Linked DNA regions of Drosophila melanogaster. The protein of the gene in region 2 interacts with the protein of the main gene of each other region in a pairwise test. Each region holds a gene or a part of one and is shown on either strand. Other genes may lie near its edges.

The links.
Region 1: the proteins of Vlet (region 2) and Prx4 interact in a two-hybrid assay, tested with the Drosophila melanogaster proteins (one large-scale study listed by BioGRID).

The regions. Positions count from the first base shown.
Region 1 is NT_037436.4:3,039,534-3,046,900, reverse strand, and holds Prx4 (peroxiredoxin 4), read right to left. Parts: upstream 4,543-7,367; 5' UTR 4,451-4,542; intron 4,352-4,450; exon of another isoform or gene 4,129-4,351; intron 3,857-4,128; 5' UTR 3,850-3,856; coding exon 3,696-3,849; intron 3,630-3,695; coding exon 3,512-3,629; intron 3,461-3,511; coding exon 3,055-3,460; intron 2,997-3,054; coding exon 2,946-2,996; 3' UTR 2,727-2,945; downstream 1-2,726. Other genes in the region: scramb2 (scramblase 2), read left to right, coding at 150-264, 685-1,178, 1,770-1,928, 2,032-2,055; CG2162 (uncharacterized protein), read right to left, coding at 6,925-6,974, 7,083-7,322.
Region 2 is NC_004354.4:11,675,814-11,682,627, forward strand, and holds Vlet (valette), read right to left. Parts: upstream 2,739-6,814; 5' UTR 2,622-2,738; coding exon 2,590-2,621; exon of another isoform or gene 2,537-2,589; coding exon 1,852-2,536; 3' UTR 1,531-1,851; downstream 1-1,530. Other genes in the region: bif (bifocal), read left to right, coding at 5,040-5,301, 5,905-6,814. UniProt on the Drosophila melanogaster protein: Scaffold protein in the commander complex that is essential for endosomal recycling of transmembrane cargos; the commander complex is composed of the CCC subcomplex and the retriever subcomplex.

The DNA of each region.
Region 1 (7,367 bases), on a different chromosome or scaffold from region 2:
TGTTCGAATAAATACCAAAATATATGACAGAATATTTCGTACGGTGCATTTGCGTTGCATTTTTCGGCGTTCGCAACGCGGTCACCCTGCATTTAGTGTTTTGTGAACTGTTAAAGAATCCGATACGAATTTAATTGCTGGGAATAACAATGATGCAGATGAGCGAGTACAAGGTGCTCCCGCAGAATGCACCGCAGGACGAGAATGGCGCAGTGGTCCTGCAGCCGCAGGCGGCGAATGTTGGCAACAATGCCAACGGACCTGGTGCGTAGCGATGGACATATATGGATTTGTCCACTGTTGAATTCCATCACTCGGATGGACCTAGTCGGTTGCGCGCGTCTGTGTGGGCTAGTGGGCGTGTGCGAAAGGCGGAAATGCCGTCGTCTCTTTCTTGGCATTTAGTACAGCAGCGGGCATGGCAATAGCACCCATAGTTATCTATGTAAAAAAGATATTTTATAATGTACCAAAAAGTGAAGTGATTCCAAGTCAATACGTAAATACATATTGTTTAAAATATTAGTTTATGTTAAGAACTGCTATCACTGGCCCTAATCGCCTGACCGCCATTGTAGCTATGCTAATTTCCTTTACCCATGCATAGATATCGGAAAAGCACTTTATGCATATAGATAAATATAAATACATAGGGAGCTAATCCGGAACAACGCCCCATTGCAGAAAACTGGATGTCGATACCCGTGGGCATGCCCAACTGCCCGCAGGGACTGGAATACCTGACCGCTCTGGACCAGTTGCTCGTGTCGCAGAAGATCGAGAAACTGGAGCTGCTCACCGGCTTCGAGACGAAGAACCGCTTCAAGGTGAAGAACTCACTGGGCCAGAATGTGTACTTCGCGTACGAGGAGAGCGACTGCTGCACCCGCAACATGCTCGGCCGGTCGCGCCCCTTCGAGATGAAGATACTGGACAATTTTCAGAACGAGGTGCTCCACCTGTACCGGCCCTTCAAGTGCGACATCCTCTGCTGCTTTCCCAGCTGCATGAACGCCGTGGAGGTGTCGGCGCCACCCGGCCAGGTGATCGGTAGCGTTGAGCAGGTCTGCACCTTCATGCGGCCCAAGTTCAACATCAAGAACACATGCGGCGATACCGTCCTGCAGATCGAGGGACCCGTCTGTCCCTGCAAGTGCTTCAGCGATACCAACTTCAAGGTCAGTACGCAGCCAACAAGTGGTTATTCTTGGCTCTCGATCTCGATTCCCAATGCCCAAACAAGTGTATACACACACAGCAGCGGTCAGCGGATTAGCTTTAAATTCTTCGGAGGAGTACATATGTATGGTCTTCATCAGTCAAAGACGAAGCTTTATAAAATTCCAAAATGAACAGTATCAGGCGTCCACTTAATTGCTTTTTTAATTATTAAACATTTATAAGTGCCTATATACATATATTCTAAATAATTATGAACAGACAGAAGCGTTCAAATTAATAGCACCCACACTAGTTTTAAATTTTCAATTGTATACGTTATTTAACAGATGCCTCTAGATATAGGAAAATCAATCAATCAATTTATACTTTTTATGGCTAAAATGCACCAAGTGTTTGTGCCGATCTATGAGCCCTTTTACTGACCGCTGCTGTGATCGTACAGAAGCAAAGAGACTGCAGTCCGAGGCAGTGACGTCATGGTTAGCCATGCCTGACTGTCCAGAGCGAGTCAATTAATTGCGATGCCGCGAACTGCGAACCGATTAATGCGAAACGCAAACATCTCTCGCCCCTTTAACCGCGCACAGGTATTGAGCGCCAACAACGAGGAGATCGGCAAAATCAGCAAACAATGGTCCGGACTGGGAAGGGAGCTGTTCACCGATGCGGACTACTTCAGCGTCACCTTCCCCCTGAATCTGGATGTCCGCATGAAGGCGCTCATATTCGCAGCGCTCTTTTTGATTGTGAGTATATCAGTATATCATATATATCACTGAGTGAAATAAAGCATATGCCAGTGCTATATACTCGTTTCCCTTCATTGATTTGTGTTTGTCTTAATTCCAGGACGCGGTTTACTACGAGCAGTAGGCTGTATGATGAATCGCATTCTAAAGGAACAAACGCCCAAACATTATAATCGCCGACTGCTTTTTGGTTCGACGTGTTGCATGGTCATAGCTCTAAGAACTTTTTAACCCCTTATTTGATTAACGTTTCCGGGAATCTGAACAGTGCAACGCTTTGATCGATACGGAATCTCCGCAGCAAAGGAATCTCCCGCACAACTTGGATCTGAACCGCAGTTGCACCTTCGTTATTTTATGAACCTCGGTTTTGGCATTTAAAGCTCACCACAATGAAGCACTTACTGACAAACGCACAAAACGGAAAACAGAAAGCAGACTACACACGAAGAATCCGACGAGAACGAGTGCCTTATGACGTCCTAGTTATTGTCGTCGCCCCCGTCCCGTTTCCCCAGATTTATATACCTCGACAGACCTAGCTTTGTTGTACGCATAGGTCGGAGCACAGGATAACTTAATTGCAACCATGGCGTACCTAACTAATTTACTATTACCTTTTACCTACTACATATTACATATTACATATATTTTTGTATGAAACTAATTGCAATCGAATTGTTACCCATTAGAGTGGCCTAGTGAGCCAGCTTTCAAGGCATTTTGAGATCGAAAACATCTCCTCCTTTTTGGTACCGCTCCTGTGGCGCCGCGCAATTTTCATCACCTTCACATGTACTTCATGAATTTATTTATATCTCAGTTATGCTGTAAAATAAACAAACTATGTTTTGTACAAAGCAAATGCGAAATATTCACAATCGGTGGCATTGCGGATTTGGATTTTCTGTACAGAGGACTCTAGCGATTGTTCGTTTGCATCGTGATTCAGTCGTGAACATTAGGAATGTAACTGGGCTAGGCTACTAAGGTAATGTGCATCTCTATCTGTCCCTAGTTGTTCTTGGCAAAGTACTTCGTCTTCTCCTCAGGATTGGGAACGATCTGTAAAGGTAATGGTATCAAAAAGAATTTACCTAAGGCAATGCTTCAAAAAACCTACCGTATCGGCACCTGGCCGCCAACCTGCTGGGCAAACCTCTCCATGGGTGTCCGTATACTGGAAGGCCTGAACCAGACGAATAGTCTCGTCCACAGAGCGTCCCACGGGCAAATCATTCATGGTGATCTGTCGCAGCACTCCGGTCTGATCGATAATGAAGAGACCGCGCAGCGCATGACCGCTGGACTCCAAGTAGACTCCGTAGTCCTTGCTGATCTTATGCGTTAGATCGGAGAGCAGTGGGATCTTCACGTCGCCCAGGCCGCCCTCCTTGCGCGGCGTGTTTATCCAGGCCAAGTGGGTGAAGTGCGAGTCCACGCTGACGCCAATCACCTCGGTCTTGATCTTCTTGAACTCGGCGATGCGGTCGGAGAAGGCAATGATCTCCGTTGGGCATACAAAGGTGCTAAAATGGCAATGAGAAATGCGATCATACTAAATGTAAATGTAAACTTACAAGTCCAGTGGGTAGAAGAGTAGCACCACATATTTCCCTAGATACTGGGACAATGATAGCTTCACAATCTCCTTATTAACCACGGCGGTGCCCTCGAACTGCGGAGCTGGCTTGGAAACTGGGGAAATAAGGGTAGCAGCAACTTAATAGTGATCCCTGGTTTTTTGCATCCAATGGAACTCACTGACTGCCTTGGTGTACTGCAGCTGATGGTCGCCCTTCGGCTGGTCGGGATAAACGGAGCCGCCGGCGAAGGAATAGCACGATTCATTATCTTCCGGCTTGGCAGCTCCAACGAGTGCCGCGGACAGCAGTAGGACAGATAAGTACTTGGACATGATTGGGCTGAAACGAGATCCACGTACGTATATGGCTATTGGATTCGGTTTATACGCTATTTATTACACGCGGCCTTTACAATTATTGCCGCTCTTTATATTTATAATAAATCTGTGTACAGTGGTCGCCCAACTATCTTTAATTTTGTAAATTATGTAAAGATATATAATTTTGAATGTTAATTAGGAACAAAACTAAACTTCAAAGAAAAGATACTCCTTCTATGTACTAAATCCTTGTTCCGTCCGTGTCAGCCAGTCTCTACTGTACGCACATACCCAAAATTCGAACACGCCCACAACTTGTAGCCACGCAGTCAAAAAAGTAACTATTTCAACGGGCAGAACTTCAATTGATTTTGGTGGAACGCGCTTATTGTTGCTGCGCTTCCGAAAAGATAAGCTTATCAATTTCATTCACTTCACTGCTATTATAATTTATAGTTGTCAGCGTGTAACCGATTTAAACAAATATAGTTTACAAAACTACTAAAATTCCAATGCCAATGCGATTGCCTAGCTCCGATTTGAATATTTATTTTTAGTTGCAGGGTAGTTAACTTGCTTGCATTAAGCAACAATGCAAACGCACAGCTGTTACCTTTTAAGCGCTATAATTAACTCTTTTTGTTTTAATAACAAATTGTTCTGCCGGCATTGGTGTGACCGTAATACGCAAAAATACCATACTGTCGTTCCGACACCAATGCATAGTTCAGCATTGCCAACATAAATTTCATTATGAAATATTTGAATTTTCATTTCATATTAACGCGTAACTGCAATTTTGAAAGAATATTATTTTAGAAAAAATATCTGTGCTGCATTGGCGAATCAAAAGCGATGTATGGCCATGCTATGATCTATCCAATTTTTTTTAAGTAAAAAACACTTTCTCAGTTAACTTTTACTTACGCTATAAACTTTATTAAAATATATACAGTTTGTCAAGAAACTGTTTACACACTGTGAAATAAGTTGAATTTTTGACTTTAAAGCTAAAAATAAAGGGTTTTTTGCTTAATTAAACGCAATTTTTTTATAAAATATAATTAAACAATATTTATTTTACTTATAAATCAAAAAACAAATTAAAAATATTAAATATACAAGAAAATAAACAACAAATTCCAAGTTTACACACTTTTGAGACTGTCAAGAAACTCTTTACACATTTTGTTTTCCTACTTTGTTTTGTTCTTTTTCTTAGAACGAACTCGATTTTTCCGTTATTTTTGGCTTTGCATTGCTTTTTACAACGCTTCTATTGAAATTTTGTTGACTTTGCTTGTGAAATTTTGCTGATCAAACGTGCTTAAAGCGAATTATTAAATTTAATAAAATGCCTGGAAAGAGATTAACTTTTGAAGTTACCCAATTAATAAACTATAACCACCAGTTGGGAAAATCTTTTCCAGAATTAGTATAAATGTTTCCTGTATCCCGTAAGACCGTCTACAATGTTTTAAAAGGCTCGGAAAAAGAGGGCAGGCTTGAACCTAAGAGCGGTGGTGGGCGGAAAATTAAAATTAAAAAGCGTGTAGACCGCTTTATTATGCGAATAGTGATTGCGAACCCCCGAATCTCGGTCAGATCACTTGCTCTGGATATCAGGCAAGAATGCCACCTAACTGTGTCACACGAAACTGTGCGCCAAGTCATCCTACGCCATAGGTACTCTTCAAGATTTGCAAGGAAAAACCCTTTGCTATCAGATGCCAATATGGAAAAGCGTCATTAATTCGCTGTGAGCATGATGGATCATGCGGAAGAGTACTGGGATGACGTCATATTTTGTGACGAAACAAAAATGATGCTCTTTTATAACGACGGGCCAAGCAGAGTATGGCGCAAACCGTTGAGTGCGCTAGAAAAACAAAATATCATTCCAACGATAAAATTTGGAAAAATGTCACTGATGGTTTGGGGCTGTATCACCAGCCGTGGAGTGGGAAAACTAGCCTTAATTGAGAGCACAATAACTGCCGTGCAATATCTAGAAATGTTAAAAAACAAATTTGAAGGCCAGTGCAGAAAAATTCGGTCTAGTTAGCAACAACAAGCCAAATCTTAAGTTTTACCAGGACATGATCAGAAACATAAAGAGTGCAATGTACGCACCTGGCGCCTTAATAACTGTGGTAAAGTGATCGATACGCCCCCTCAGAGTCCTGATCTGAACCCCATTGAAAATTTGTGGACCTACTTAAAGAAGAAGGTGGCAAAAAGGGACCTAAAACACAACAACAGCTTATGACTGTAATAGTCGAAGAGTGTGAAAAGATCCCGTTTGAATATGACCTGCAAAAACTTGTCCAATCCATGAAAAAAAGGCTTCAACTTGTAGCTAAAGCCAATGGGGAACATACTACATACCAAAACTTTTAAAATTTTAATAAAATAATTAAAAAATTTAGGATTAAACTTCGATTTAGTGTTTTGTGTAAAGAGTTTCTTGACAGTCTCAAAAGTGTGTAAACTTGGAATTTGTTGTTTATTTTCTTGTATATTTAATATTTTTAATTTGTTTTTTGATTTATAAGTAAAATAAATATTGTTTAATTATATTTTATAAAAAAATTGCGTTTAATTAAGCAAAAAACCCTTTATTTTTAGCTTTAAAGTCAAAAATTCAACTTATTTCACAGTGTGTAAACAGTTTCTTGACAAACTGTATATCAATATATAAATTGCTCGCGCTTAAAAATTAGGTTTACGGCTGGAGTTAAAACAACACGTACACGCGTCTCTCTGCACGTTTAATTGCTACGACCAATAAATATAGATATTTCTCTCTTACGGCCTAGATGATATAATATGCATTGCATCCTCTAAAAACTACAACAAATTGAGCAAAAGTCTGTGTTAATTTCACAAAAAGCGAACATTAAAAGTACATTGCTTAGCATGCGAATTACTCATTTACTGTGTTAGCTTTGATTGAGAATTGTTTTTGTGGGCGTTAATGGTGGTGTTTCTTGTTGTCGATCCACATGGTGTTGTGTTTGCTGCCGCATTTATTGCAGATGAGAAAAGGGTGAGAAAAATGCACCTGGCCTTCTTCCGGGCCGCGGTCTAGCTCTCCCAGACTTCGTCCCGCTGTTTGGCAGCTAGCAGTTTGCGTTCTGAATAAAAAGATAAGGCAGATTAATAAAAGACCAAGGGAAGGCAGCGCCAATGATTCCAAATCAAGTATATCCTTGACCCAGTTTAGTTACATGGCCCGCACTCACCTTTGGCTTCACGTAGTACCCGCCTCTCGTTCTCCCGTTCCTGCGGCGCCGTGGGCAGCTTGACTCCCAGTGCACCCGATACCAGTCGTCGGGCCAAGGCCGTGCAGGTTTCCGGACGCTGGCGATAGGGCTGCATTGACACCGCGCCGGCCTTCTTTGCCTTCAGTCGTGACTCCAGAGTGGCTTCCGCAAGTGGCTTCAACTTGACAAACGGATGCCCCATCGTCAGCACCTCAGCAGCTGCGGAGGAAACGTTCTATTTCATTACCGAACCAATCTCCGGTT
Region 2 (6,814 bases):
ACAATTTGATATAAACTATATATCTTCCAATTTTTTTGTACACCTAATGTTAGTTGAAATATGTGAGCGAGACGAGCAAATTTTTGTAGCAAACTAAAAGCGCTAAATGTTTACTTTTTTATATTATTATATATATAAATACTTGATAAACATATACCTAATATTAGATCTAAACTAAACTAACTATAAATCGCACACACTCATACACTCACACAAAAACACAATGCAATAATTGAGTTACATAGTTTTAAACAAATGTTAAAACATTTTGCTGCAACCGTCGGAGATGTAGTGTACAATTTTTAGTTTCTCGTATTATTTTTTTTTTTATGTCTGTTTTGTGTTTAAATTTTTTGTAACTTTTTACAAAGCGTAAACTGTGTATGTATGTGCTACATTGATTTTTGTTTAATTATATCAAGTTTTTATTTAAAAAATCGAACACCACCTTGCATTCTCCTCATTTGAACGTGGCGCTCACACTTATTACTTATATAGGTCAAATACAGCGGGCTCTGGTGATCAATCCAATCAGCAGAAAGTAATGAAAAACACCGAAGTTAATGTTTAAACATAAACACACAATGAGAAAAGAGTCGTGTTTCCATATTCACTTGATTTAATCGGCATGCGATGTTACTCACAGCGAAAGGAAATTCAGCAAGCTTGAATCGATAAAATTGTTGTATATATTAAATAGTTTAACACTGTGTAATTTTATTTATCCTAGCTCGATTCTAAGTGCTTGCGTAAATGATCATTTAAATTTTCTAACCCGAAAGAACTTATTTATTGGTTTATTTATACAAAATTGAAATGAAGTGCATATGGAAACACAACTCAAAAACAGACAGCACAAATAGAACAACAGGAACAAATGACCAACGCATTTCGAAAGGCGATAATCATTTACACGAAAAACCAATATAATTAAACAGAATCCCACGCAAACTGAAGACTAACTAACAACCAAGTTAAGGGCTAGTTAATGGAGCCGGTGCCAAAGCAAAAAAGGAAAAATGATAACAACACCTACACACACGACAACTAAATGTAACAATAGCAATACATTTTAATGAAAATTGTAGTCCAAATAATTTGCATACATTTGTATTTTGTCCAAACTTAGTTGAAATGATTAACCGAACTGTGAAAGAGTGCAATAGAAATCGTTTTGCTTCTAGATTAGTGAAAAATACAACGAAGCCCCTAATTTGAATACGAAGCAACCCAAAATCCCCGCCCTCCCGTAATAACAATAAATACATATGCATAATTATGCAAAAGTTTGAGAAGATGAAACTAGAAAGTCTGTATAATGCATACATAATATACGACTCCATTATACACACACACACGCATACTAAGGCCGATGAATAACATATGCATATACAATATAGACATATATTAAATATATATCATTGTAATAATTTGTAATGTTTATCAGTAGAATTATGATCCGAGGTGGAGCAGACGAGTAAAACGCATGCAGAGATCCATTAAAGTGTACTGTAAAATGTGCCACACATTGTTTTATCTAAATTTATTAAAGGATTTATTATTTTGCAGAGGGTAAGTTCTAAAACTTAAAAACTAGTCCTGTTTGGAAGATCCTAATCATTGCAACGTTTTATAAATCAAAGCCGAACTCTTACTCTAGTAAAAATTTGGCTACGTTCGGAAAATTAGCCAGAACATAGGAAAAACCCTACTGAATTAAACAAAAAAAAACGTGTTTAACATTTGGCTACGATCGTGTTAGTATTGCATACTTTTAGGTCCATCTTTTTGCACAGAGTTTTGTGTGAATCAACAATAAAATTGGCACTGGAATTGGTCGATGGCGTCCCACTACTGATTGCCAGGCGCCGTTGCTCCTGTAGTCTTCATGGCCAGCATGGCGTCCAGTTCGCCCTGGATGCTCTCGAACTGATTGTACAGTTCCATTAGTTCCGGTTGTGTCATTTCGATGTTGATATCCTCGCCGACGGCCGTTTTCATTTGGAGCACGGCCAGCGGGGTCTTCTCCCGCTGCTGGCAATGCGAGGAGATCTCCATGTTGAGCTTCCAGGCCACATCTTCGATGACATTTGATTCGTACCGCTTGCTGGCCAAATTGTTCATAATGGGCGTCGTTTCGCGCACCCACAAACGCAATATGGCATCGATCTTGGCCTCATCCTCCAGCTGGAGTTTCTCGCGCAGCTCACGCTGCAGCAAACTTGGCTTGATGATAAACGTGGAGATGCGACGCAGGATGTAGGAGAAGGTCTTGATCAGCAGCAGGAAGTCCTGACGCGGTACGCCCACCAATCGCTCCAGTTCCTCGAGTGTGTACTCCGGTTCGGTGTTACTTGTGGGGTTCTCCTCGGTGCTGCTGTCCACCCGGCCGGTGGTCGTCACACTGGTGCCCACTGTACTACTGGTGGCACTCGCCGATGCTACGCTGGGACTCATCTGCCGGTGGGTGTAGAACAGAACCGTCGTAAAGGTCTCGTAGGGCAAGGCATTGATGATTTTGATGCCCTCACGGGCTCTAAGATATAAATGCAAGAAATTAATCTCTATAAGAACATTGATATTACATACCTTTCCGTGATCTTTATCCAGTTAATGCTCATTGTGAGATATATTTAAAAATTTTTAAGGAACATAGAGTTATTAAGTCTTTACCAGCACTTCTTTTATTATGACTTTAATATTATTTGTTTATACAGACCAACAATATACAAAAAACTATCGACTTGCCACGGTGCGGTGCTGCCACACAGTTACTACTGCCAATAATAACGGTAAGTGCTGACTAAAATACAAAAATATTACATTTTGCGATGTGATTTTAAACATATTCTTTATTAATTTTTTAGATTTAAATGTTTTATTAAATTAATTTATTTTTCTGTATTTAGGCCTGAATAATTTACCTTATAAAATTACAATGTTTTAAATAATATTTGCTGTTATGTTTCCTGCAAAATAAAATTCGTGAAAAAAAGCCGCACCAGCAAATATCAATACCAGATTGTCGACGGCACCGACGATCGACGATTCAATTTGTAGAAGATTATCAAGTACGAATAGTTTTCCAACTCATTAATATAATCGTCCTACCTGGCAACTCCGCTGATGCCTATCGATGCTCCGCTCGATAGCGCCAACAATCGATAAGCAGTATTTGTGTATTGGAAACGCGGCTTAACTTAATGCAGATTTTTCCGCTGATTCGGCTGCGAAAGATGCACTTTTAAGGCGCAGCGAGTGCACCCACGCCCCGAGTTCGAGTGCAGTTGCAGTCGGGAAAGCTTGACAAGTGCGCGGAGCAAGGAGAGCGACGAGTTCGTTGAGCTACAGCGAAACGGAAAAGTGTAAAAGCGGGGTAAACAGGCGCAGCGGAGCGGATGATAAACGGAACTCGGGATCGGAAAATTGGAAGCAAAACCAACCACCGATTATAAAAAATAGTCAGCATCTTAAAAGTAAGGATTTCAAGCTAAGGTTTCAGCGAAAGCCCGAGAAAAACAAAAACCCCAACTAAACTAACGGAACAGTGCGTCGGGATATATGCATGTGTATGTGGTATACGTATGTGTGTCTTTGGCTGCGTGCGATTGTATTGTTCCTGTGTAAATAAACAAAACCCGGCTCTTTAGTCTTCCACTAGTTCGTTTCGCGTTTCTCTGCGAGGAATTTTTGTTGAAAAAACTCAATTTGGCATAGCATAACTTCCAGTTTATTTCCCTATTCTGCAAACTGTGTGTATCAGTGTGCTGGTGCTTCCAGCATGCCGTAAAAATCGATAGCGCGTCGTCGGTTGTTTATTTTATGCTTCGTCTGCATTTTGCAGCCCCTTTTTATCGCTCTCCCCTTTTCAGCCACCCTTGCACACACTCACACTCTCTCCGGCGGAGTCGTGTGATGCATACACACACACACACACAGACACATGCATACGCCTGATACGGGAAATTAAAAATAATACTTTTTATCGCGGCATGCAAAAGGCAAAGCTGCAAAAACAGAAACAATTCCAATTCCAACAGCAATAATCTAGCCATGCAATCAATTTTAGCCAAACAATAAAAAGAATCGTTTGGTTTCAGTTTCCCCGCTTTTCTTTTCCGTTATTTTCCTCTCTATATTCGGTTTTATCGCATTTTCCGCTCATTATGGCAGTTTAGCATATTTATGCTGGAAAAATATTGGGGTTTCTTCGCTTCTTACCTTTGTTTTACGTTTTGTTTTGCTGTCGGGCTGTAAAAACAGCAGTTAATCCAATTAAGAAAAATAAAACTCTAAATGCCATCGCCACCACGAATTCGAAATCACCTTTTATCTACTCAAAAGATATTCATCTTATTTATTTTCCAAGATAAATGTTAAATTATAAATATATTATAGAACCATACACTTGTTGAAATAGAATTTCTGCTAACAGCTGCGAGTTTTACAGTCATAACTATTATTATTATTTATTAACTTAGATTTCTACAGGCTGCGATTTTATAAAAATGATTCAATTTTTTATCTAGACTTTGTTATTAAAATTTCTACATAAGCAGAAAATAATTGCTGCAATGACAAATATTTCATTTTCAGCTTGTGTTTATCGTAGCTTATTTTTTGTTAAATGTATATTAAAGTATTTACTCCCCTTCTCATGTAATATACATATATTGAAAAAACAGTACTTTTGTCTATTAGAATATATTTATACCCTCACTTATTGGTTCATCTCGAAAACTGGTCGAGTAAACTGAGAATCTTGAGATAGTTTCTTGAATTGGATATAATTTGCATGGTTGGCCAATCTTTTGGGTCGGCTATGCCCGCCTCTTTGCTTCGTAGAGGAGCTTGGGCACCGGGCACTTGCAATTGGCACCAGCTTCGGGCCAGTCAGTCCGCCAGACTTGGTCTTTGGGTCGAGATGTAGAGCTGGATAGTGTGCCACACTATATAGGGGATACTACTGCGATACAGACACCGCGGACACGGCTGACATGCATTAATGCTGCGAATAATGCCTATTGCAGACGGGGATAATGGAGTCACAGAAGCGGCCTTCGTTGGACTTACACACGGATGTGCCAGCAGGATTAGCAGCTGGAGGATCTGGCCTGGGAGCTGCAGCTGAGATGTCGCCCACTTCCGGTTTCCTGCCGGACATGCCGCAGTGGAAGAAGGACCTCATCCAGCGCCGGAAAACGAACGTGGCCCGCACCCAGGCGGCGTCCATCACCTCGCCCACCGATGGCAGTTGTGGGGCTTTGGCAGAAGCCAACGCAGCTCCAGGTGCAATTGCAGGTGAGTGGTGGTTGGACAAACTGGAATACTTTCACCTGACACGCAAATTAAAGGTATTTTCAAGCCAAGCATTTCTGTCAAGGCATGTTAGGTGCAAGTATTCGTATTTCTAATCGCTATTTCTTGCATTCTTGACAAACGAAATAATTGCACTTACTTTTGAGCTCCATACTTATCCCTTTTAAATGATACCGTTCGGTACTTAAAATAAATTCAACGAACTATAGACTTCGGAAAGGTTTTTAAAATATTTAAAAACTGCCGTAGCAAATAGTAATCAGGGTGAAATATATTGACTGGAAAAATGCGAAAGACTAATTGTGACTTACACAATCTGCAATTGCTCAGTTGGCGTTAACCAGCCATGAGTAATGGTAACAAGTGTTTTTAATTCATTTTGCCAACTTTTACGATTTCCAATACCAGTATACTTTTAAATTAGCCGCCTTACATATTCGCTTATCGATACGATATTCGCTTATCGATAGCTCACAGAGTTGTCAGATTGCGGACGAATAAGATAAAAAAAACCAAGTTATGTTTTAATGTTCTGTCTTTATAACATTTGTATTTGCTTTCTTTCTTCAATTTTTTTTCTAACAGATTTCACAGAACCGGCGACAATCAGTAGCACTAGTCAAAAGAGAAACATGATCGGTTCAGAGGAAAAGTCTGAGAAATCTTCTATTTCCAATACCAATTCCGATTCCACTGGAGGTCATCACTCTGTTGTTGCCGTCTCCCTTTCGCCCGATGCGGCAGCAACAACAAATGTAACAGTAACACCAATACCAAAGCAGCGATCGAGTTTACTCAACACAAGAAGTCAGGAGAGGGAGATGGTGCGATATATTCTAAGCGAGAGTGGAGAACGGGATGGAGAGCTTGAGAGCGGCGAACAGCCGGCTGGTGTGGTGAGTAACAGCCGGTGCGGTGAAGTTGAAACTGGCACAATTGGATCGCCGTCGTCGTCAGCAAATCAAAATCCAAACCCAAATCATTTAAAAACGAAATGCAAACCGGGACAGAGCGTTGCTGAGGGCAAGCCTTCAGCTAAAGAGACCATCGTCGATAACAGCAAAAGCTGCAGCAAAACCAAGAGTATTTCCGATAAATTGCAGAGCAACAAGTTTATAATTCAACAGCAGCAGCAACAACAACAACAACAGCAGCAACAACAGCAACTGTCGCCCACAAAGGTAACGGTAAAACCGACAATGGTCGCCATGCAAGAGATGAAGAAGACAACCAAACAAAATGGCCAGCACCGACATCTAGCGGGCAAAATTGGCAGCGTAGCAGGAGGCGATGTGGATCCACAACATCCACCGACGAATCCCATACCAGATTCATTGGACACCGGTGAGGATCTGAGCTACGGACCCGGAATTGTGTCCAAGCTGCGATGCCGCTACTTGAGCCTGGCCCTTCGCGAGTCCCGCCAGCAGAGCAGCAAACAACGCCTCCAACGCTCCACCAGTCTGAACACCCTGCTCGACCGCGACGATGACGA